Linked DNA regions of Caenorhabditis elegans. The protein of the gene in region 3 interacts with the protein of the main gene of each other region in a pairwise test. Each region holds a gene or a part of one and is shown on either strand. Other genes may lie near its edges. The genes, in order: snb-6, grl-4, gopc-1 and clic-1.

Region 1 (5,023 bases), on a different chromosome or scaffold from region 3:
GGAAAACGGTCACAACTTTTTGGTGGCTGAAGGTATCAAAAAGTTTATAACTAAAACTTTGCTCACTGTTATTTAACAAACATTTTGTTAGTTGATCATTTTTCAAAATAATTTATCTCAACGAAGTTATGCAACTTCAAAGTTGGTTAAATATTTTGCACAAAGTTCGTGAGATGTAGATCATTTCGACGGTTTACTTGCGAATAGAGAGTTAAAACTTGGGTAAACGTTTCATACATTTCTGAACAACAACATAGCAATTTCATAATTGTTTAGAAAAATGAAATTTTTTGAATTTTTTGCTTGGAGTTGATCAAGAAATTTTGAGCAAAAATGAAAAAAATAAAAATTTCCAAAAAGTGCGGACAATGATTCTAGGTTCCCGAATAAGAGTAAAATCACTTTAAAAATACGCAAAAATGTTTGAATGAGTTGTTTTACAACTTTATTCAACTTACAAAAATATTTCAAAAAAAAAAGGAATCGAACCAAAGCTTAAATCTTATCAGACGCGCGCACTCCCAACTCGGCCACCGAGGACATTTTTCAACTCAATGTGGTGGGTGTCACATTTTCGGTGGTCACGCAAGCTGAGATTTGCGTGGATTGCATGGTAAGACAGTGGATTTCAATGGTGTTTTTAACTGAAATTTCAAAACGTCATAACTTTGCTGAAACTTGACCGGGGCAGCTAAATTTTTTGGAGAGATCATAACTAACACTCTTCTGTAGGAATTTCAGCATGAGAACTCCAAATCTACGGACCCCCTCAAAGACTTCCCTTGTAAGGGTAAAATAGTTGTTTAAAAAAAATTTAAAATAGAAGGAAGTGATTTACACACGTGTAGATTTTGTTCTGCTCTCGACATGTTTACCGCATATTTCCTTGGTTTGTTTTTAGTTAACTAATAGTCTAGGTTAGAAATAACATATAGCAATGATTATATCGCAAAAAATACACAATGGACCTTTAGGGTTGAAAGAGAAACCAAAAACAAAATTAATTCTCAAGAAAAATAAAAATACTTAGAACGGGATCCTGGTTTATTGAAGAACCAATATTGACAACTAATTTATTTGAGATTAAATTTTCTTTTTGATTAGGAATCAAAGTGAAGTGGATGTTAAAACATCAAACGATTTTTGAACAATTTGAACCACCACTAATAATTTCGATTAAAATTTTAGAACTTTAAGTACTTTCAGAGTTTCCAAACTGGTACCATCTGCAATTCAAATTGGACAATGATATTCCAACCACTGTCCTATATATTCTTGTTCATATCTTCAGCGATTAACCCAATTCTATATGCATGTTTATCAAAACGGTTTAGGAATGCACTATCTGATGTAATACACTGCAGGTTAGTTTATAAAATATTCCACAGAAATACTACATATATTCTTATTTCGTATTGAGACTAATAAAATACAGAATTAAAAATCAGTTAGATAAGGTTTCAAGACAATCTTTTGCTCTTTGTACATCACTATAGTATAGATTCTGCATTTAAATTTATTTCTGGATGAGACGATTTTCACAGTCGTGTGCTGTGTGCGTTGTGCTTTGCGTCGTTTTGTCATAAGATCACAGAGTACAAAATTAGTTCGCAAACTCGAATCTAATACTTTGATATTTGTGTACTTATTTTAGGAAAACTTACTAGTGAACAAATGGACTATCTATATTTTTTTCAGGAAAGGAGTGTTCTCAAGGATATCTCGCTCCCGAAACAGGACGCTTGTCAGCGATGTTCCACCAGAAGATTCTCGATGTCCAAGTCCTGCTCCAATCAGAATGCACAGGATTCGTTGATTTAAAAAAAAATCGTTGCTGTAAATACTTGTTTATGTACATCGAATTATAGCTCAATTGTTCACTGCAACTTTTTCCTCACGAGGGACGAGGAAAAGTGGTTTCTAGGCCATGGCCGAGGGGCCGACAAGTTTCAGCGGCCATTTATCTTGCTTTATTTTCCGCCTGTTTTCTTTTGTTTTTCACAGCTTTTTCCCGTTTTTTCTTATTAAAACTGATAAATAAATATTTTTTGCAGATGCTAAAACAATTTCCAAGTAAAAAATAATGCTATCAGTCGGCAAGTAGCGGTGAAAGTGGGCAATGTAATTTGATGGATTACGGGAATAAAAAACCCAAACTTTTTCTGAAACATGGTATATATTCTGCTTAGAGGCTGAAACTACCCGATTTTTATAACGAGACCGCTGAAAAAGTTTTGAGATTTTCAAAACTCGACATTTTGTGCGAAAATCTCGACTTTTTCACCAAAAAAGTTGAATTTTGAAAACCTCAAAACTTTTTCAGCGGTCTCGTTATAAAAATCAGGTACTTTCAGCATCTAAGCAGCATATGTATCATGTTTGGGAAAACGATTGGGTTTTGTATTCCCGTAATCCATCATATTACGTTGCCCACTTTCACCGCTACTTGCCGACTGATAACATAATTTTTTTACTTGGAAATTGTTTTAGCATCTGCAAAAAATATTTATTTATCAGTTTTAATAAGAAAAAACGGCAAAAGGCTGTGAAAAACGAAAGAACACAGGCGGAAAACAAAGCAAGATAAATGGCCGCTGAAACTTGTCGGCTCCTCGGCCATGGCCTAGAAACCATTTTTCCTCGTCCCTCGTGAGGAAAAAGTTGCAGTGTTGTTCCGGAAGTTGAATTATTTTTTACGGGTTCCTTCGAGTATAAATGAACTTTTCTTTTCATAAATTGTCCAAGTTGTTCTAACATAGAATACATAGTGAAATGCGGAAATAAATGCCAGTAATCTAAGAAAATGCGGGACTGGCGGAGAAAATAAAGAAGTCAGCTTTCTCCGGTAAACCGATAATTGGGAAAAGTTTGTTTAGGAAGGATGTTTTAGAGTATTTCTACTTATAGGGTTTTTCAAACACTTGTACTACATGAAAGGTCTCGAAAAATTAAAGAGTTCTAAAATATACAATTCTTATATCATAAATTAATGCCCCGTGAAAATCTTGTTGGTTAGAAAACACACGTGCCATCATTCCAACAAAAATGAATTAATTTCAAAAAGTATCAATACATTTTATTTGCTGAAACAGCAGACGCTAATTACTTCATGATTCATCAACAACTACCAGTGAGTCGTATTGGTTGGGACGATCAAAAGATTATGAGAACAAGACAGGAATTGAATTCGGTTTGACATTTATCATTAGAAAAATGAACAATTATATTTAGGTGAAAATCATCATGAAGGAGAACGTGCAAAAAATTATGGAGAGACAGGGAAAACTTGACGATCTCGTTGAAAGAGCTCGTAAGTTTCATAAACTGGGAGTTTTGGTTTCAAAAAAATTAATTTATTAGAAGTAAAAAATTAAGATTTAATTTCAGAAAAACTCGAGGAAGCTTCAGATGTTTACGTCAAGTGTGCTGTCAAGGTATTTAAAAATTGAAATAAACAACAAGTTAATTTAAATTTTTAGATCAAGCGTGAGATGAGCTGGAAAGCCAATGCTATTCGTAATGGTATCATCGCCGTATCAAGTGTGTCTGCTTTTGCCGGAATCGCATACGCATTTCTCTGAATGTTCAATTTCATATATCAATATGATTTATTGATTTAACAGCCTCTATGTATTGAATAAAGTTTTGAATTTAGAAAAAAAACATTTTTGTTTGTTAAAGTTTTCTTTCAGATTTTCCAAAATTGCGAACAAAATATTTTAAGTTGTTTGCCACTATTGTGAATACTAACTTCTAAATTTGTTTTCTTCCTTGTAATTTTCCAGAACCTTTTCAGAAAAACATCACTTTCTGATCCAACCAAATCATTAATCCACTTGACAACTCAACGATGTTTATTTTTTGTCCCAAGACATTCCATGTTTTCCATCATTTCATCGTGTGACCCATTCATTCATCAACCCTGAATTCAAATGCAAATTCTGCTGAATCACTGATCAATTGTCTATAAAAAAAAGTAGAAATAGCTGGAACCTCGATCGAATCTATTTCTTTTTCCCACGTCACAGTTAGTTGAATAGTCGCTGTTTGTTCAATTGATACTATCGTCAATTTATCATCTACTGAACCCTTTGAATACCTGTTATGAAATCATTGTTCACTGAATATCAAGAAGCTATCAATTTATTCGATATGATTGGTGAATCCACTTTACTGTCTATGAAACTGCTATTCTAAGTAAACTGTATCTCCTCGATTTTCAGTAACATTTAGCGAATGAAAGTTAAGATAAATTTCTTTGAATTCTTTTAAAAATTTGGTGCAGATACTATTAGACTAAAAAGTTTTTGAAATAATTAAGGAATGTGTCAATATTGTAAAACATATTTGTTTGTTATATGGCTACGGGAAATCTGTTGCCGGTTTTTCGGTGGTGCGGTATTTTTCTAATAATATTTACTACAATTTTAGGCTCTGTGAAAGAACTGAAAACCTTTTTTATCTGAAACATCTAGAACGTGGAATAAAAACTCCAAAAAAAATGAATTTACAAAAAGCTATCGCACAATTAAATCGTGGACCATGTCGTCAAGATGCGGATTAATAAGCCGAACGGTAGACGTAGACAGAAGCCGTAATCTCTCTCATATTTATATAGTCTCCTTACTCACTGTGAACAGATGGCGCTCGTCCGTATCCTCCCGGGATGACCTAGTACTACTTTGGTTCAACGCGCAGACATAATGACCTTGCATTTCCTTTTTCCCGTTCGTTAAATTATATTTATGAAATAACTCTACTCTCGTTGTGTTATCATTCTTTGATATATCACATCGAATGTGTGTTATTGTTTTTGTGATAATGTTTTTGTGTCAGAGTAACCTTTCAAATTAAATTTCAAAATTATTTAAAATACTGTAATTCCTGCATTCAAATAAAACTTCATTCCTATTAAAAATCTGCAACATTCGCCAACTCAATTTTATTTCTAAAACACGTTTCTGGATTAGTTTCTCGGTATTCACGCTATAAAACATAATTAGGTCACTGGAACCAATTATGA
Region 2 (5,139 bases), on a different chromosome or scaffold from region 3:
TATTCTGATTTTTCAGAGACTACTCGCAAGACCCGTATCGTTGATACCATGTACAACGCTACAAACAACGAGTTGGTCCGTACCAAGACTCTTGTCAAAGGAGCCATCATCAGCGTTGATGCTGCTCCATTCCGTCAGTGGTATGAGGCTCACTATGCTCTCCCACTTGCCAGAAAGAAGAACGCCAAGCTTTCCGAGGAAGACAACGCCATCCTCAACAAGAAGAGATCCCACCACACCATGAAAAAGTACACCGAGCGTCAAAAGACTGCTGCTGTTGATGCACTCCTCATCGAGCAATTCAACACTGGACGTCTTCTCGGTAAGAAAATTCAGAAATTTCTTCAAGTTTAATCATTATTTTTCAGCTCGCATCTCTTCTTCCCCAGGACAAGTCGGACAAGCCAACGGATACATCCTCGAAGGAAAGGAACTTGATTTCTACCTTCGCAAGATTCGTGCCAAGAAGGCCAAGTAAATGCCTTTTGTGGTTGTTTTCTTGTTTTTGTTACATAAAACATAAACGAATTGTTACTAGAAATTTGTTAATAGCACATTTGGAATAAGGTTACAACTGCAGGGATTTTATGCATTATTGTTGGGCGAAGGATATACAATGGTGATTCTATTATTAAAGATGTTCCTGACAGACAGCCCATGGGTCTAAAGGAATTTCAGTTCGGTCTGCAAAGGATTGCTTTTTAATAGAGATGTTCTCGGGAAGGCTGAAGTAGTAGTGATCAGAGATGGGCTGGCCAGTATGACATGAACATTTTTAATACATCGAGAAGAGTTTCGTTCTGGATTAGTATGAGCTCATAATGCACAGTTTCAGAAGCGCCTTAAGTTATAGGTACAAAAGCAGTTTGAAAAGTTCGTGGTGTTTTAAAGTCTTGTTAATTCGAATCTGGCAATGTCGAGAAGGAAACTAAACGTGGATGCCAAAATATGATTTTTAAAAGTAAAAAGCTTTTCTCATTTATATTCCGACTCATTCTGACTTCGTTGAAATAATGGAGGAAATAAAAGCAGATCAGGATAGACGTGGAAAAATGAGATTAAGATCTTACTGTACTTTTTAAAGGCGCACGCAAATTTTCAAAAAAGTTTGTTTCGTTTCAAGACCGAGGATTCTTCGTTTGTTCCATGAAAATCAAATGTTAAATTTCAAAATTCGGTTCCTAGATTTCAAAAAAAATGAAGAAAAATCAAAAGAGTTCGATTTTTGGAAAGTTATGACGTCATAACTTTCCAAAAAATCATATATGACTAAAAATTGTAATTTTTTCAACATAAAATTAACCAAAAATACGTATTGTTTTCTAGATTTTCGTTTTAGTTTTTTTTGAATCACCTCTAAAAATTATAAGATACCGTATTTCCTCTATAAGTAAGGCATGCAACACTAATTTTCGGACACCTAATTTGATGCAAAACTAATGGAGGAGCAAAACTAATTTTTGAACAGGTTTTTTCTCATGTTTTCCATTAAATTATGGCATAATATCATCAATTTCAATAACAACTTATGAACCAAAATGGACGAATTTTACGACTCATACGCAAACATTGTCCGAGTTGTACTCATATTTTGCCAATTTTGACTTATTATACCAAGTCTGTAAAAGTTTTCCTAATTTTTAGAACGATTTTGTAATGCAAATTTTGAATTCCTAAAAATAGGGAACAAATGAATGGGAGCAAAACTATTAGAGGTGCGAATCTGATAGAGGATGCAAAACTAATTTTCGATTAGTGATTTTAGATGCAAAACTAATGGAGGTGCCTAACTAATAGAGGAAATACGGTAATAAAAAGTAAAGATGCTTCCAAGGATTACTCATACCACAACCAGTTTCCAGATCTTATGTATGCATCAATTTCAATAGGAAAATGAATAAAGTAATGATGTGCGACAAAATTTACCAAAGGTGTCAGATAACCTTGAATGTGAACAATGAAAGTTCACTTGTGATTAGCATTTTCCAAATCATTTCAGATTCTCAATTTCCAGTAAATTTCAATTGTCTGAAAATTAAAAAGTTTAACTTCAACAGAAATCGTAAAAGAAAAAGAAAAAGCAATCGGATTCACCTACTCGTCTCCTATAATTAATAGGTGACGTAACACGATTACTCATCATCCAATTCAAAAAAGGAGGGAGAAGCTGTGTGAAACCAGTTCTAGAGGGTCAAATTCTCGACAGCAATGAGGTAATGGAGGCGGTGCCAAAAGATGTCAGGGTCAAAATGGCAAAAAGGTATATAAGGTATTGATGATGATCAAAAGAAAATGCCATCTTCTTTTCTTTGTTTCAATTCAAAATCTTATTGATGAGATGAGGACAGATGCCGATCACAAACCCTTTTTCATTTTATTTTTCAAACCACTTGTTTTCTGGAACCAAGTGATCTTATTACCTAGACGCGAAGGTCTCGGCACGACACATTTTTATGAAATGCAAAAGTGTGTGTGTGCGCCTTTAGAGAGTACCGTAAATTCAAACTTTCATATCAGTGGAATTTTCGTAGCTTTTATCAATATTTGGTATAATTTATGTACGCGTTTGTATTGTTGTTTTCGAATTACAAAATTAAAACACACCTTTTTTTCAGAAAACTTCGCAGAAAATTTGAAATTACAGCATCCGAGACCGGGTACTATAATTTCGGCGCAAAGCTTCGCGTCTGGGTAATATTTAAATCCAAAATCCCTCAATTCGGAAAATTTTCTTTTTTTTAATCAAAAGTTTTTATTTTCCAGATGCTTCTGCCCATTTCAATTCTCTTTTCAATCATCCCTATAGCATCTTCAACATTCGGAGGATGTTGTTCAATGGGACCACCACCATGTCCTCCACCTCCACCACCAATGTGTGCACCTCCACCTCTTCCGTGCCCTCCACCTCCAATCTGCCCACCTCAATTCTGTCCTCCACCACCGATGTGTCCTCCACCACCACCTCCACCACCACCGCCGATGTGCCCACCGCCACCACCACCGATGCCATCATATTCCCCATGTCAATCATATGCTCCAGCTCCGGTATTCAATCAATATGCCATGCAACCAGCCAACGATTGTTGCTGCAGATGTGGAAGCCCATGTAGATTCATGGCTAGACATAGAACTCATGGATCAAAGGTACGTTTCTTTGAGATTTCATCTAGACTTTGGGAATAATTGTTTTTTGTTTAGCTGTTCACCACTGAGGATCCAGAGGAAGATCCAACCTGCAACAGCAAGAAACTCAGAAGAGTTATGGAGAGGGTAATATTATAAATTTCTGGTTTAAACTCTTAACTTTATATTTACAGAACATGAACGGTGACCCATCGATCTCAAAGCGTGCCATCCAAAAGGCTGTCGAGGAGAAGATGTTCGGAAAATTCAATGTTATCTGCGCAAGAGGAGACTTCTCCTACGTAGCATACACCGAGACCTACTGCCAAGTGGCTAACGACGACGTCACTTGCTACGCTTTCAGACCGATGTAATTCTTTGTCGGTTATTCTTATTTGTCTTCGTTTCCTTTATTTGTGTAGTAATTATTATATACTTCGAGAATGCATTCCGGTTTGTGTTGTATATATGACCTTCACTTCTCTCTTTGTCTATCACTTCCCTCGTCCCCCGGTTTTTTTCATTTCTAATTTGCTACAAAATAAACCGACGATCTCGTGCAAGATCCCATTGTTTTTGAGAACTTTGAACGTGAACATTGGAATATAATAAGAAGCGGAAAGTTTGAAAACAGAACATAGTAGAGTTATACTTCCAAACAGGTACGGTGTCGTCTGAAGGAGCGGGGGAAACGAATCTCCCCTGGACAGTAACCGTCACAGAGCGGATTTTGTTACGTGGCTTAGAAAATACAAAAACTAATGATCCTACAGTTGTCCTACGGTACCCTACTACAGTACCTTACAGTACTACCACAGTACCCCAACAACATCTAATCGCGATCCCCCACTCACTATCACTTCAAAATAAAAATACTCTTTTTTTTCTAAAACTACAGTAATCCTACAGTACCTTATAACACCACTCTTCTCACATCATTTCGGCACATTCTAGTTACAAATGTCTATTTTTGCCGAATATCATAGGAAAAATCTTTAAAAAATAATTGATTTTTAAAAATTTCAGTCACAGTTTTGGTAAATTGCTAAACTTTCAAAAATTGTGGATCTTTCGAGGATATTTTAAAACAGATACTAACCATAATCAAATAGTTGACAAAGTCACTTTTATTTCCAATTTCCTGCACCTAATTTTAAAAGATCCCTTTCAACTATCAAAAACAAAAAAAAATGCTCAACACAACGCGAAAATGTAAATTTTTAGTGCATCAAAAGAAAATAAAAGAGCCATAACTCTGCAAATTGGCTGAAATTAGATTGAAGAGACCGTCTGCTCGTGCTCTCAATTGTTCATAGAAATGTTCTATCGATCGCCATCTTGATGCTCTTTTCTCATCGAAAGACGTTTTTAAATTCGTGTTTTACTAGTTTAATTCAGTTTTTAATTGCATTCTACAACTTTTCATTACTTTTGGCACAAAATTCAGAAGAGACTCAAACAGAGGGATCAATAGGGACTACTGTGAGCTTCAAGGTTCTTGGTTTTGAAATTTTGAAAGATATCATTCAGACTGTGGTGAAGATTGAAAGTGATGCAATTTGGTGTCCAACACATCGAGTTGGAAATCAATGTCCTGAAGAAACTCTTTTATCTTTTTACAAATGTTGTGGTCATTTAAACAAAGAATGTTGCTTTCATCTGAGAGTCTGGGTGTGTTATTTTGAAAACTCATTATTCCGATTAAATTAAATTTTCAGATTGTCATAATGATAATTGTTCTTCCAATCTGTCTCGTTCTTCCTGCATCCACTTTCCTAATCCGCCGAATTTTGTGCTCCTCAAGTCAACAACCAACCGGAAGAGCCCCTTCAGCAGCGGATCGTGTTCGTCAACTAGCTGCAGAAGATTCAACAACTTTTAGAAGAGATTCTGATGATATGGTTATGTTGTAATTTGTCCTCTCTACATAAGATTATGAACATTTAATTAGAAACTACAATAATTTATTCAATGACAGATTCATTTTGTGTACCCGTTAAGAGATCATCAGAAAAA
Region 3 (7,633 bases):
CCTAACAGTTTATGTAGAAGTTTTCTACATTTTTGGTGTTAAAATTTTTTAATCTATGTATCTATGTATGTTAATCTATGTATGAGCTATCAAATGAGCTATCAAAGATGAGCAAAAACTTTTGGACATGATGCATTGAAGGCTGTCCCTGTTTGAAGCTTTTATCTGTTTAGCTTTTTGAAAAACTTTACAAAATACCTTGTTTTAAGACATGGTGCATATATCACTGATGTCTTTTGTTTTATCAGGCAGCTGACAACTAACAAAGTATTTTTTGAAACTTGCAAATTGAGCCGAAATATAAGACATCTAGAAAACTTCAATTATGGTCTTGTTGAAAAAAAAAGAAGAAGATGATCTTCAGCCATCATCACGTTTAGCCGAAACGGAACTTTTGCGTTTCACATTTCCTCTCCCGCTCCCCCCGCCACCGCTGCTTCGACTCCTTAACATAATTTTCGGCGCACCCCGTACACGGAGACAATGTGATTTGGCGAACCTCTCTCTCTTTCTGTGTCTCTAGCCTTTCTCACATGGCTCAAGCCAAGGGGGGGGGCTCATCTTACTTCTTGATCCGCTTTTTCGACTCTGCTCATAAGCTCAGTTTCGAGTGGAGACTATGTTCCAGGATGGTGGTTATTCTCAGAGTGGCTCACCGACATGGCCCGGTTATTCTTATACTCAATTTTTAGAGCTTTTCATTTCAAATGTAAGTTTATTTTTAAGTTTCAAAATTATATTTCAAGCCCGACGGGCTCCAGAATGCTGAATTTTGTTCCAGATATTCTTTGGAATTTAACTAGGCTTGTAGTGAAGTCCCGTAAGCTTGTGGCTCTAATAAAAAGGGACCGTAGAGAAGCCCAGATATTTAAAATCTAAAGGGAAACTGTTTGACCAGAAGATTAGAGCCCAGTTGTCTTAGATTAGCCTAGTAAAAGTCCGGAAGCCCAGAACTCTCAAAATAATTACGAGCACCTGTAGCCCACAAGTGCCTAATTTCTGACTGTCAAGCTTGTCGACCCGTACTGTCAAGGAACTTTGTCCAAGCTCAGCTAGGCCCGTTCAAGCCCACATGACTGTAAACGCATTGGGATTAGAAGCCAGGATAGGATATACCATGATCCAATGCACCATGACCCCACGGAACCAGATAGTGCCTCCATTTACCATAATGTACAAAAAAAATTCAGCCTTCTGATGGTCCCGTCATACTTTTAGGCAAGCTTGGGCTCTCAAATGAGCACAAAATCCCAAAATCCCACTTTGTTTTCAACTCATTAGACGTTGAAAAAATGGAAAAATCAAGCTTCCTCCATTAAAAACCAATTCCAAAAAGGCGACTCCAAATTGAATTAGCTTTGCGCAGAGAGCATGCAGAGGAAGTCGTTCAGATGAATAGTGGTCAATATAAAGGAAGCGGGGATAATAATTATCGGATACTTTTCAACTACTACCGCTTGTTAGTGTTCGGCTAGTAATAGAAGTGCCAAAAAATCGTCGAGTGGAATTATAGCGTGTTAGGTCGTAAGGGGTAGAAACTCAAAGAAGGTGGATTCCTTTTAAAAAAAACCTTAAAATCTTGTTAGATCGGAGTAGCTTCATCTTAGGTTGGAGTAAAAATTCCACATTCTCAGGCCGGACTAGAAACCCCATAGGTCGAACTAGAAGCCTAATAGGTCGGACAAGGACTCTGCGGAGTATAACCCCCTAGTTCGGTAAAGAATAATCTTAGGTCAAAACAGTATCACTTTAGGTCGGAGTAGAATCCGCTTAGGTCAAAGTAAAATCTCGAAATCTTAGATCGGAGTAGAATTCTAAAATCTCAGGTCGGGGTAAAGTTTTTTAGGCCGGGGCAGAGTCTCAAACTTTTAGGTTTAGGGAGAACCCCTTGGGGTTGAAGTAAAATTTCATTAGGTCAAAGTAGGCTCCCTTTAGGCCGGTGTAGATCCTAGAGCTCCTAGATCGGAGTAGATTTCTAAAGTCTTAGGTCGGAGTAGAACCTCAAAAGTTAGATCGGAATAGGACCCTAAAAACATTAGATCGGAGTAGATTTCTAAAATCTTGGGCCGGAGTAAAGTTCTTTTGGATCGGAGCAGAGCGTCCTTGGGTTGAAGTAGAATCTCATTAGGTCAAGGAAGGGCCTAGAGTAGATCCTAGAACTCCTAGATCGGAGTAGATTTCTAAAGTCTTAGGTCGGACTAGAACCCCGTTAAGTCAAAGTAAAACCCTATTAGGTCGGATCAAAACCATTCAGGTCTACTTAGCACCTATAGGTCAGTGTAGAACACCCATAGGTCGGAGTAAAACCCCCAATTTCGTAGTTAAAGTAATTATCGTATACTTTTCAACTGTGCAACAAAGAGGGAACAAAAATGCGAAAAACTTTTGATTTGGTGTGAAAGTATACCCATTGACACACACACACATGAAGCTCCCGGAATTGGGGTCCCTCCTCTCTTTTTCTTCGTCCTCTTCCACTCTCTCTCTCTACCATTCCCACCCCATTTTTTTTCTTAAAAACGAGCGAGGCATCTTCTTATTCCTCACAGAGCCCCCCGACGCCTTTCTCTAGAAAAGACGGGAAGAAAACGACAATTGGATTATCCGGTGTCCCCCGACGGCTCTTTTCCACCCTATTCCAACAAACACACACACACACACACCCAGTTCTCCACACATATCATCATCATCATCATCATCATCATCACCCCGAAACTAGTGTTTTACTAAAAAAATGAGCCATTGTGCGGCTTGCTCTGGCGCCAGGCTTCAGGCCCAGACTGTGCTTAGGGTGGACCCGGAGTCTGAGTATTTTGAGTGTGAAGCTTCTGCGGTGAGTGATTTGGGCTTTCTAGGTTCTAAGCCTAGTCAAGCCCGGCTTTTTTATCCTCTTGGTTTGAGTCTACCAAGCCTAGCTAAACCCGGATCCTTGATCCATCCGTTCTTGGAAACCAATAATTCGAATTAGATTTCCCATTGACTAGCCTAGACTTATGAAGCCTATCATTGTTGAGCTAAACTAGGCCCGGTACCTTGAAACTTCCCGCCTAGTCTGAAACGACAACTGACTGGACCGGGCCCTTTTCAGCTTAGCCTGAATCATATTTATCCAAGTATTTGCCCATTTAGGCCCGAATTTTTGGTCCGATCAGCTTATCTTATTCCTTATTCCAAATCAGGGCTCTTTTCACAACAGTTTGCTCAGCTAGGCCATATAAGCCAGAGCCGTCAAATTTTCTAATGACTAGCCGGGATCCTTGATCCTTTCAACTCAGCCAAACTTTGATCGGAACCCTGCCCTCCCCTTGATTACCCCTAAAACCTCAAAATTTCCAGATGGAAGGTGGCTCAGGATGGACAGAATCATTGGAGAAAGACTTCGACAAAGCATTCGTCTCACTGGATCTCCTGCTAGGAGAAGTCGACTCGGACCAGGTAAGAGCTTAGAACTTCAGGCCACCTGATCAAGCCCAGGTCCACAAAATCCTAACGTATCCAGGTTGAGATCACCTACGAGGGCCGGCAGAAGATGACGTCATTGAGCGCCTGCTTTGCACAAATGATGCACAAGTGTCAGTTCATGATGCACACAATTAGTAAACAGGAGAAGGTGAGTTTAGGCTTGCTGAAAAAAGTTGGATTGTTAATTTTTTCAGGAAATGATAACAATGCGCGCCGAGGTCGTGGAAGCCCGCGCCGCTCGACAGAGCATGGAGAAGGAAGTGGAGCAGTTGATGATCCAAGTTCACTCATTACAATGCCAACTGCATTCCAAGACGGCGCCGCATGAGTCAGACATGATTAAGAAGAAGCTGGAGACCCAGCTGACACAGTTTCGATCAGAGCTTACACAGGGTTTGAGCACGGTTTGTGAGCTGGAAATTGCAAGAAAGGAGTGTGATCGGTCAAAACGGACGATTCAGGCCTTGGAGACTGAGGTCTTCGGGGCCAGGCTGGCGGCAAAGTACCTGGATAAGGTAGGCCATCGGGCTTTAAGGCTTTAAGGCTTCAAGGCTTTACATACCCTAATCTTCCAGGAACTCGCAGGCCGGATACAACAAATCCAGCTCCTGGGACGAAACATGCGCGGCGTGGAGCACGACAGGCTCTGGAACCAGCTGGAAGCCGAAATTCACCTCCACAGGCACAAGACAGTGATCCGGGCTTGCAGGTAGGCGGTCACGTTTCCCATGGCCGCTCCCCACTTGAACAATTTGCCATTCTTGCAGAGGACGGGGTAACACGAAGGGATTAACGGCGCCACTTCGTCACAACTTCAAGAGCCTCCGAAAACGAAATGGAGTGGGAAAGAGCAGGAAAGTGGTGCTCTCGAAACACCCGCACGAAGGGCTCGGCATTTCTATTACGGTAGGTGGGGGGACTTGGATGGTTTTGGGCCAGTAGATCATTGACTAGACTTGTTCCTTTGGGGATCCACGGGATCCTGTAAGATCTGAGAGTTGATCCAGTTCCCGTAAGACCAAATGTGCCATCTGATTATGAGGTACTTTTGCACGTGGTGTCAGGCTGTCCCATTGCGGTTTGATCTACAAAAAATGCGGGAATTTTTCTCCCAGTCAGTTGAAAAGTCTGCGTCTCTTTTCCCGCATTTTTTGTAGATCAATGTAGATCAATCTAAAATGAGACACTCTGACAACCCCTGCTTTTGTAGTTCTGCTGCATAGCTCAAAACTACTCCAGATAGTTTGCGGAGCTCCGGATGGATCCTAGTTCTTCAAGATCTTAAAAAATCCTACTGGATCCTAAAATCCATTTCCAGGGAGGATCCGAACACGCTCTACCCATAGTGATATCTGAAATCCAGCCGGGACAGCCTGCTGACCGATGTGGACAGGTCTTTGTGGGCGACGCGATTCTCTCAGTAAACGGCTACGATCTTCGGACTGTCAAGCATCAGGAGGCAGTGGATATTTTGAGTGGGCAGGTAAGATGCTGCCAGGGGCCCTCCACCTACATCCCCTCCAAATTCCAGGTACAGCAAGGCGACCTAGACCTGGAGCTCGTCTTTGTGTGCCCCGATGAGGATAGTGATGATGATGGGACGGTGACGATCGAGCACAGCGATGGATCTATGTGAGTTATTGGGAATTTTTCGGCGGGAAATTTGAATTTCCAGTTAGTTTTTAGCGGGAAATTTAAATATTCAATCGATTTTCAGCTGGAAATTTTGATTTTCTGTTAATTTTTGGCGGGATTTTCATATTGCCAGTTAATTTTAGGCGGGATTTTTAAATTTCCAATTGATTTTGAGCTAGAAATTCAAGTTATAAGTCAGTTTTAGGGAGGAAATTCAAATTCTCAGTTAACATTTAACTGGAAATTTAATTTTTTAGTTAATTTTTCAACTGGAAAATCAAAATTTTGGTCATTTTTCAATAGAAAATTCAAATTTTTTGTCGTTTTACTATAGGAAATTCAAATTTTTAGTCAATTTGCGACAAAAAATTCTAAATTTTCTGTCTATTTTCGGCAAGAAATTCAATTTTTCAGCCTATTTTTTGGGGGAAATTCAACTTTTTAATGAATTTTTCGGCGGGGAATTCCAATTTTTTGTCGTTTTTCTATAGGAAATTCAACCTTTTAGTTAATTTTTCGACGGGAAATTCAAATTTTCGGCCAAATTTCAACAGAAAATTCGAATTCCCAGTCAAATTTTTAAATTTTTGTTTTAGCTACAACCTCTACAGTATGGAAGAGCCCACGTCAAGCCGATCGTCCAACAATTCTGATGAATCACGCAGCACGTGACCTCCAAAATGTGGAATTTTTTGACGGGTTTTATTTAATTTTTTTTTCAAAAAAAAAACTTTTTTTTGTATATTTTCCCGTGACTTTCCTCCTCCCCCTAATTGCCACGTCATTTCCTCCAACTCATTGGATTTTTTTTTGGCTTTTTCCAACTTTTTGCATAAAAATCTTTTATTGTTTGAGTTTATCGATTTTTCTTCCGCAAAAAAATCAATAAATGACGTGTCAACAAATCAATCGTCTTACTGCTGTCTTCAATACGGCAATGTCCAAGGCGCTGGCTTCCGATGAGAAGGACGACTGGATTACCCATTTGAAGGCAATTTCGAATGTTTTTACGCAGGTAATATGATCTTCCGGTCGGGCGGGAATTTGAAAATTCTGGGAGAAATATTGATTTTTTGGAAAAATGTCAGTTTTCCGGCAAATGTCATTCAAAAAATTATTGATTTTTCGTCGCACTCCAACGACACTCCGATATTCCGCTGACTAAAAGTAGGCGTGGTCAGGCGGGAATTTAAAAATTTCGCTTTGAAAATCAGTAAGAAATCATCGATTTTTGTGAAAATTGTTAGCTATCCGGCTCGAAATATCGAAAAACGGTTTGAATTTTGTTTAGTATAAAGTTTCTTTAAAATCCCGGTCGGGCGGTAGTTTAAAAATTTTAGAAAAAATCGATAATGTATCGACTTTTCGGTATCCCGGTACAAAACTGTGGCGGGAATTTGAAAAGTTTCCAATAGTTACTTCAAAACTCCTTTTTCTCGGTTATTGAAAACTTGGCAATGACGAGAAAAATCGATAATTTATTAATTTATCACAAACTATTTTTCCAGGTTTGCACTTTGTCCGCCAGTGAAGAATCCGCTAAGAAATTGGCAATCAAGGAGCGTGAGGAGTGTCTCCAGGAGCTCGTGGAGCTTCGTGCCATAGCTGAAGCCCATGATGACGTCATCCAGCAGTTCCACTTGTTGCTGGCCGCGAATCATCAGGGAGACGCGACTTCCAGGCAGATTTTCAATGATATGGTGAGGGAATGTTGCCTGCCTATACCTACCTAGGTGCCTACAAGTACTAGGCAGGCAGGCACTTTCGTGCCTACCTGCCTACTTCAACGCTTAATATTTCAGAAACAAGAAGTCGGTGACAATATGGAAAGGATCCAGGAGCACCGTCTTGTGGAGGCTAAGCTCAACGTGGAGAAGCGGCGTAACGAGCGGATGGCGAAGCATATCAATGAGGTGTCCAAGAAGAGTGTCATGCATCTCATGGCAACCAGGTTCTACGCAAGGGTACGGTTCTACCTAGTCGATGCACCATGTGGGGTAGAGGTTCAGGTAGCTCTGGTTACCCAAAAATTGGTGATTTCCACTTTGGCCACATTTTTTGCTAGCCTAAACCTCAGCCAAAGCCTACACCCAAACCTAAGCCTTAATCCAAGCTTAAGCCTGAGCTTAATCCTAGGCATAAGCGTAAGCCTAAGCCTAAGCCTTGGTCTAAGCGTAAGCCTAGATCACAGCCTAAGCTTTAGCATAAGCCTAAACCTAAGCCTAAGCCTAATACTAAGCCTACGCCTAAGCCTAAGCCTAAGCCAAAACCCAAGCCAAAGCTTCAGCCTAAACATTTTGTCGATGCACCATGACATTTCCCCCACTTTTTTTCTAGATTTTTGGCCCCTACGCATCATCATTTTTTACATGATCATGTCCCCTCCCCACACTTTCCCATGAGACTCATTACAGGAGCTGGCAGCAATGCGACAGATGATGGATTTGGTGCGCAACGCGGCAACGATCGAGTCGGCCGTCAAATCGAAACTGTGGGACGAGATCGAGAAGGAGAACCGCTTGTTGCGTCTCAACAC
Region 4 (5,655 bases), on a different chromosome or scaffold from region 3:
TATTCCGTATGAGTATTTTGATTTTAACAATGTTTGTACACTACTCCTTTCAAATTACGTTTTTTTCTAGTAGTTTTGAATTAGAATATACATATTAAAGAATCAAATGTATGGGGTTTCCCTCAAATTTAAAGTTATTACGAAAAAAAGGTTTCCAGCTTTATTCAAAATTCACAAAATGCCACGCGAGAAACAATTGAGATCATTTAAATCAAACGTGCCCACCATTGGCAAGAATAACTTTTTTAATGATTATTAACAGAAAACCAAAATTTGGAATAATAAATGTACATGCCGCAAAAGTGTTTTGCGTAATTGGTAGGGAAGCTATAATGCAAATTCGAGTCTCAATTTTCTGTAGGCGATCAATCATTATCCGATAAGTTTGATATACAATTGGATCTTTTGTGCATTCAAATTCATCATTATTGATCAAAATGCAGTTGGTAGATTTCAGATGTTCTTGTAGAGTGCATGGTGGAATCAGCACGAAAAATATGTAAAAAATTATTGCAGCAAGGTTGAATCCAAGAATAATTGAGTATAAAAGAGGATTAGAATTGAAGAATCTGTAATTTAAAGTTACTATTTTCAATTATAATTTAGACAATCAGCCAAATTTTGCTACCGGGACTTTTACACTTACGAGGTGATATAGATACCATTGATTAGACTCCACAACAAGAAAAATGGTGCAAATCCGCCAAGGCTCGAAAGTGAGCCATTGGTAACTAATATCATCTCGAGAATTTCATTCTGTCGGATATCGAATTTTTCTAAAACGCCAATGTTTTTCAATGTTTTCTCTTCTTTTGCTTTTTGCAGCTCTTCATTAAAATAATTAACTTCGCGGTTCAGAGCAGAAGAGATAAAAATGTAAATTGCAAGACAGATTGTCGATATGTACCAAATGTAGAAGTTTGTAACCAGAATGAAAATTCGCGAGAGAAAATTTTGCTCTCCTCTGAAACATTCAAACATTTAAAAAAATCGAAATTTCATTTATCATTCCCAGATTTTCCTAGACTAGAACTTACCCTCCATAATATATCTTTCCATTGATGAAATTGTAGATTATCCAAGACATCATTGCTACAAACCAAGGTATTGAGAAGCACAGAGCAAGAATATGCAGAATACGAAAATTATCCAACTTTGGATTTGCCACCTGTCGTAACATTCGAACTCGTACCAATCGTCCGCAAAACTTTTGGACCAGTCCATTTTTAGTCCACCCAAAAACACAAAGGGAGCACACAAATCCAAATAAGGCAGAATATCCGAAAAAATTTCCTTCTCCCCATCCGAACGATAATGGCTGTAGAAAATATCTCGTAAGTTTTTCTGTTTTGAAACTCAATTTCCACTTACAGTTCCAACTGTTTCCATTAAAATTGGAATTCTTATGAGTGTTACTACGATCATAAAAAGTCCTAAAATGCATGTGAAAATAGTCATTCGTTTAGATTTTGCAGAACAATCTAGCAATGAAAGCTTCACCAAATACCTGAAAGGGCCAAGTAGTTCTGACGATATATCATCTGAAACTTTTCAAATCATTATAGAAAAGTTTATGTATACTTCACCATCGGAAGAAAATACGGGAAGGGTGGACATTCCAAAACTTTTAAAATCAAGTCAACTCCGTTCTCATTTTTCAAACCTTTATACAAAGAAGATCCACAGAAATGATGTCAAATTTCTTTTCTTTTTTGTGACTCGTTACGAATGTGAGTCATTTCAAAGTAGATAACATTCACTCAATTTTGTGATACGGTATTTAATGTTGCGGGAACATACTTATTATTGATTAAATAAATATTGATTTTCAATATAGGTGAAAAGCTTTGGGTATTCAACGGGCTTGAAATAGTTTGAATATAATTACACTCATCTAACTCTACTTTGGCAGTGTTTTAAATGTTCAATAAATTCCTGAAAGAGAGAAGTAACATTTTTTGAGCAGTAGTGAAATCGTTTAATTTGAGATTTTAAAACACGGAAGTTTCTCTACAAATCCCTATGATTAATTTCCTTTTCACGAAAATTTTCGCGAAAAATGAAGCTCTGTTGCGAAATTTAATTTTCAAACTTCCGCCAACAACCGGTCGCGTCGCGTGCGCGCGTTGCGGCTCCAGCTGTCCTCTTGATTCATTCCACTATTTCGCTCTTCCCAACACGCTGTCCTTCTCGGATTTTCCAGTTTAACCGCTTGTTTGATTTGTCATCTTCGTGTTTTCTAAAGCTTTTCTGTCTCATAAATCACTTGTTTTATCTGCTAATTATTGATTTTTTCCAAAAACATTTAAATTTTGAATTTCCAGGGTATAAAACACAAAAAAACTACAAAATGTCGGATCCAGTGGCGGATTTTTTGGCTCGTGAACAGAATTTATTTGCTGATTTTGATGGGGCACCACCAGCAGCTGCAGCAGCTAATCCAGGTAAGATTTTGTTATGAAATTTCATGAAATCGATGATTCATTTGTTTATTTTACATTTAAAGTGATTTTTCTAGATGCGCCAGAAGCCGATGCTCCAGCTCCAGCTCTTGATGATGACTTTGGAGACCTCCAGGTTTTTAACAACTTTCTTCAACAAAAAATATAATATTTTGCTTTTAAGATTGCTGGTGACGAGCCACCACCGGTTGTGCATCCAACTGATTCCGGAGTCGATTTGGATGGACTTGTCGACGACAATGCTGCCGCACCAGCAATCGTTGTTCCTGCCGTAGAACCAATGGTGAATGGAAATCATTCTGCTTCTTCCGGAGGTTCTAAAGGTCCATCACCAATTCTCTCAACTGTCCCAAGAATTGAGGCTGAAAAAATTCGACTGTGGAAAGCTCAGCAAGAGCAACTTCTTTCGAAAAAAGATGAAGCTGAAGAAAAGAAAAAGATTGAACTTCGTGCAAATGCCAAGAAGGAGCTTGAAGAGTGGTATAAACAACGCGAGAAGACCCTTCAATTGTCACATGACGAAAATCTGTAAGTTTTCGAAATTCGATTAGATTCTTAAACACGTAAAACCATTTGCATGAAATATTGAATTCAATCATTTTGAACAAAAATAGCTAAATTATTAGAAATTGCTCAAAATTATACTTTTCCCAATTTTCATTTTAAAAATTGCAGGAAAAACGAGAAATCCAATCAAGAACTTTTCGCCAAGCAACAAGATGGAGATGCTCAATGGGAAACAGTGAACAAGCTCGTTGATCAACAAAAATCGAAGAGTGGAAAGGATCTGAGTCGTCTGAAAACCCTGCTTGCTGGTCTGAAACATGCTGGAAAATAAACAAGTATCTTGAATATTTAACGCAAACACTTATATTTTTCTCGCCGTTATTTTTCCTTCGCATATTCGCTTCAATTCTTTTCACTGTTAAATAATGTATTTATTATTTATGAGCAAAAGTAGTCAAGTTTACGTTTCCCGATTTGGTTGTCATTCACTTTCCCTCCCTCCAGCCACCACCATCATTTTGTGTCGCCCTTCAAATTTTTTTCAATTCAATCCCCTGTTCTAATCAATCCATTTGAGCTCCGATTTCCGATAATCCCTTTCTTGTGATAAGTAAAAAAAGAAGATGAACTGTTTTACCGCCCCATGTTCGTCTTTCTTAATAGCGTATCCGTTCGCTTCTGATTCTTGCTAGGTGTTGTGTTGTGTTGTGGCATGCTCTTTTGTTTTTCTGAAATCTTTAGCCCAACGCAGCCAACATCTGGCAGTTTCAGATGAGTTTTGGAGATGGCAATCCCACGTTCGAAGAACTTATGGAAGTTGTGCAACGGCAGCAAGAAGTTATTGAACTTTTTGAGCAACAAATTGAAGCCTGTCGTATAGAATGTGTGAAACTGGCAGATGAAAGTGAGAGAAAGAGTGAGCTGTTTATTGAAATGGAAAAGACTGAAGAAATTATGAAAAATGAAATTGAATTTTTGAAAGTAAGTGAGAAACTTTTATGTTAATATTATTCACATGACAATATCAGATGTTTTTGAAAAAAGGAAAAGAATAAAATACTATTTGATTATTATCCAGATGCGAAAATTTGCGATTTATGGCTCAAATATGGTCTAGACACGACCGAATATATTCAAATGAAAAATAATGTGCGCCTTTAATAAGTACAGTAGTATCCGCGAAAAGGTGTTTTGAAAGTTTATTTGATATTTTCTTTAGAAAACTTTCATTAAAAAATATTTTTGTGAAACTAAATAATTGAGAAAAAAAAACAAAATGTAGAAAAGAAAGAGGAAATTTTTTGTGCAAAAGAGAAAGGCGAAACTGGAGACTACTGTACTTCTTAAAGGCGCACTCTCAATTTTCATTCGAATAAATTAGGTCGCGTCGAGACCGGACATCGTATTTTTGTCTTAAAAATCGCAAATTTCGCCACGCAATAATACATCCGAAATTTCCACAGACCGGGAATGATTCAAAGCGAAATGAACGGGAGGAGAAAATAACTGATTCGGAGCTGGAAACTGTTGGGGAACTTAGGATCAAATGCAAAGAGGTATTTAAATTCTCGGTCCCGCTACGAGTCAAATATATTTCCAGCTACCGTACCCGTGAGTACGGTATGTTTTATTTTTAATGGGTTGGCTGATATGTATCATGTTTCTAATAATTGTTAATATTAAAAAAGGTTATAAATCAAAAATATTAGAAAAAAACGGATACACGCACAATGAAACTCAAGGGTACGGTAGCTGGCGAATTTTCACTGCAATTTTTGCCATATTTCATGGATCATTTTAAGACCAGTGTAAAAGAGAACATGCATCATTAAAATTACCTGAAATACTTTACCAATTGCATAACTATTCCAACTTTCAGATAACCTTCAACCTAGAAAAACTCAAAACTCAAAACGCCGCACAAGAAGTTGAACTGGAACTTCAAAGGAAAAATAATGAACTTCTTCGATTGGAACTTGATTCCGAACGACAACAAAATTACGATGGAAAGCGCAAAGCTACAGTAACCACTGAATCCATTCAGAAGGATATGCTAGAAAAATGTGCAAAACTTCAAGAAAGTCAGACTAAATATCAAATTGATTTAGCTAGAATGAAATCAGAATTAGAGCTCAAAGAGCACAGGGAGAAACAATTGGAACGACATTATGAAGACATAATGGATGAGATGAAGGAAATTCGAAAAGAAAAATCATCGGCAATGGTGAAATGCTCTGCTATGACTTCTGAAATTGCAGAGCTCAAAACTAAAATTCAGCAGTTGAGAGGGAAGTTACCGAGAAATGAGCATGATATAGAGGATATGAACAAATTGCTTGGAGATCAGAGTCATTTGATTGCTGCGTTGAGGGAAGAGACAAAATTGTTGGCGAGAAAGTTGGAAGGAGACTCCAGGGATTACAGGTAGGGTAGGGGTGATCTAATTGTAAAAAAAGACAGACGCGCTAGAAACAAGAAGACATACCTTCCAAAAGCTTCCAAAGAAGCTAACTAACAAATATCGGTATTTCCTTGGTGTTTTTGATAACAAACCTACCATAAATTGAAAAATTTATTTAATTTACTTGAAATTCAAATACTGGTTTTTATCGTAGATAGGGTCTCGCCACGAATGCATAAACCTAAAAGTTATAGTCACCTGAATAATGCGAAGATCTCAAATTAG

The links.
Region 1: the proteins of gopc-1 (region 3) and snb-6 interact in a two-hybrid assay, tested with the Caenorhabditis elegans proteins (one large-scale study listed by BioGRID).
Region 2: the proteins of gopc-1 (region 3) and grl-4 interact in a two-hybrid assay, tested with the Caenorhabditis elegans proteins (one large-scale study listed by BioGRID).
Region 4: the proteins of gopc-1 (region 3) and clic-1 interact in a two-hybrid assay, tested with the Caenorhabditis elegans proteins (one large-scale study listed by BioGRID).

What each region holds. Positions count from the first base shown.
Region 1 is NC_003280.10:8,857,706-8,862,728, reverse strand, and holds snb-6 (V-SNARE coiled-coil homology domain-containing protein), read left to right. Parts: upstream 1-3,032; 5' UTR 3,033-3,109; coding exon 3,110-3,190; intron 3,191-3,231; coding exon 3,232-3,310; intron 3,311-3,387; coding exon 3,388-3,434; intron 3,435-3,479; coding exon 3,480-3,581; 3' UTR 3,582-3,663; downstream 3,664-5,023. Other genes in the region: npr-20 (Thyrotropin-releasing hormone receptor), read left to right, coding at 1,207-1,364, 1,699-1,816.
Region 2 is NC_003282.8:7,308,383-7,313,521, reverse strand, and holds grl-4 (Ground-like domain-containing protein), read left to right. Parts: upstream 1-2,761; 5' UTR 2,762-2,763; coding exon 2,764-3,144; intron 3,145-3,198; coding exon 3,199-3,270; intron 3,271-3,317; coding exon 3,318-3,497; 3' UTR 3,498-3,684; downstream 3,685-5,139. Other genes in the region: rps-8 (Small ribosomal subunit protein eS8), read left to right, coding at 17-322, 369-478; F42C5.6 (DUF2650 domain-containing protein), read left to right, coding at 4,465-4,605, 4,654-4,794, 4,842-5,036.
Region 3 is NC_003279.8:14,183,997-14,191,629, reverse strand, and holds gopc-1 (Golgi-associated PDZ and coiled-coil motif-containing protein), read left to right. Parts: upstream 1-2,662; 5' UTR 2,663-2,734; coding exon 2,735-2,833; intron 2,834-3,336; coding exon 3,337-3,435; intron 3,436-3,499; coding exon 3,500-3,610; intron 3,611-3,656; coding exon 3,657-3,977; intron 3,978-4,037; coding exon 4,038-4,171; intron 4,172-4,229; coding exon 4,230-4,368; intron 4,369-4,780; coding exon 4,781-4,945; intron 4,946-4,993; coding exon 4,994-5,094; intron 5,095-5,693; coding exon 5,694-5,769; 3' UTR 5,770-6,002; downstream 6,003-7,633. Other genes in the region: ZK849.1 (PDZ domain-containing protein), read left to right, coding at 6,035-6,112, 6,606-6,797, 6,900-7,061, 7,512-7,633.
Region 4 is NC_003283.11:7,731,581-7,737,235, reverse strand, and holds clic-1 (Clathrin light chain), read left to right. Parts: upstream 1-2,324; 5' UTR 2,325-2,350; coding exon 2,351-2,444; intron 2,445-2,518; coding exon 2,519-2,577; intron 2,578-2,625; coding exon 2,626-2,990; intron 2,991-3,137; coding exon 3,138-3,300; 3' UTR 3,301-3,612; downstream 3,613-5,655. Other genes in the region: srr-10 (Serpentine Receptor, class R), read right to left, coding at 212-569, 647-964, 1,038-1,318, 1,372-1,541, 1,587-1,617; T05B11.7 (uncharacterized protein), read left to right, coding at 3,741-3,950, 4,433-4,525, 4,849-5,393.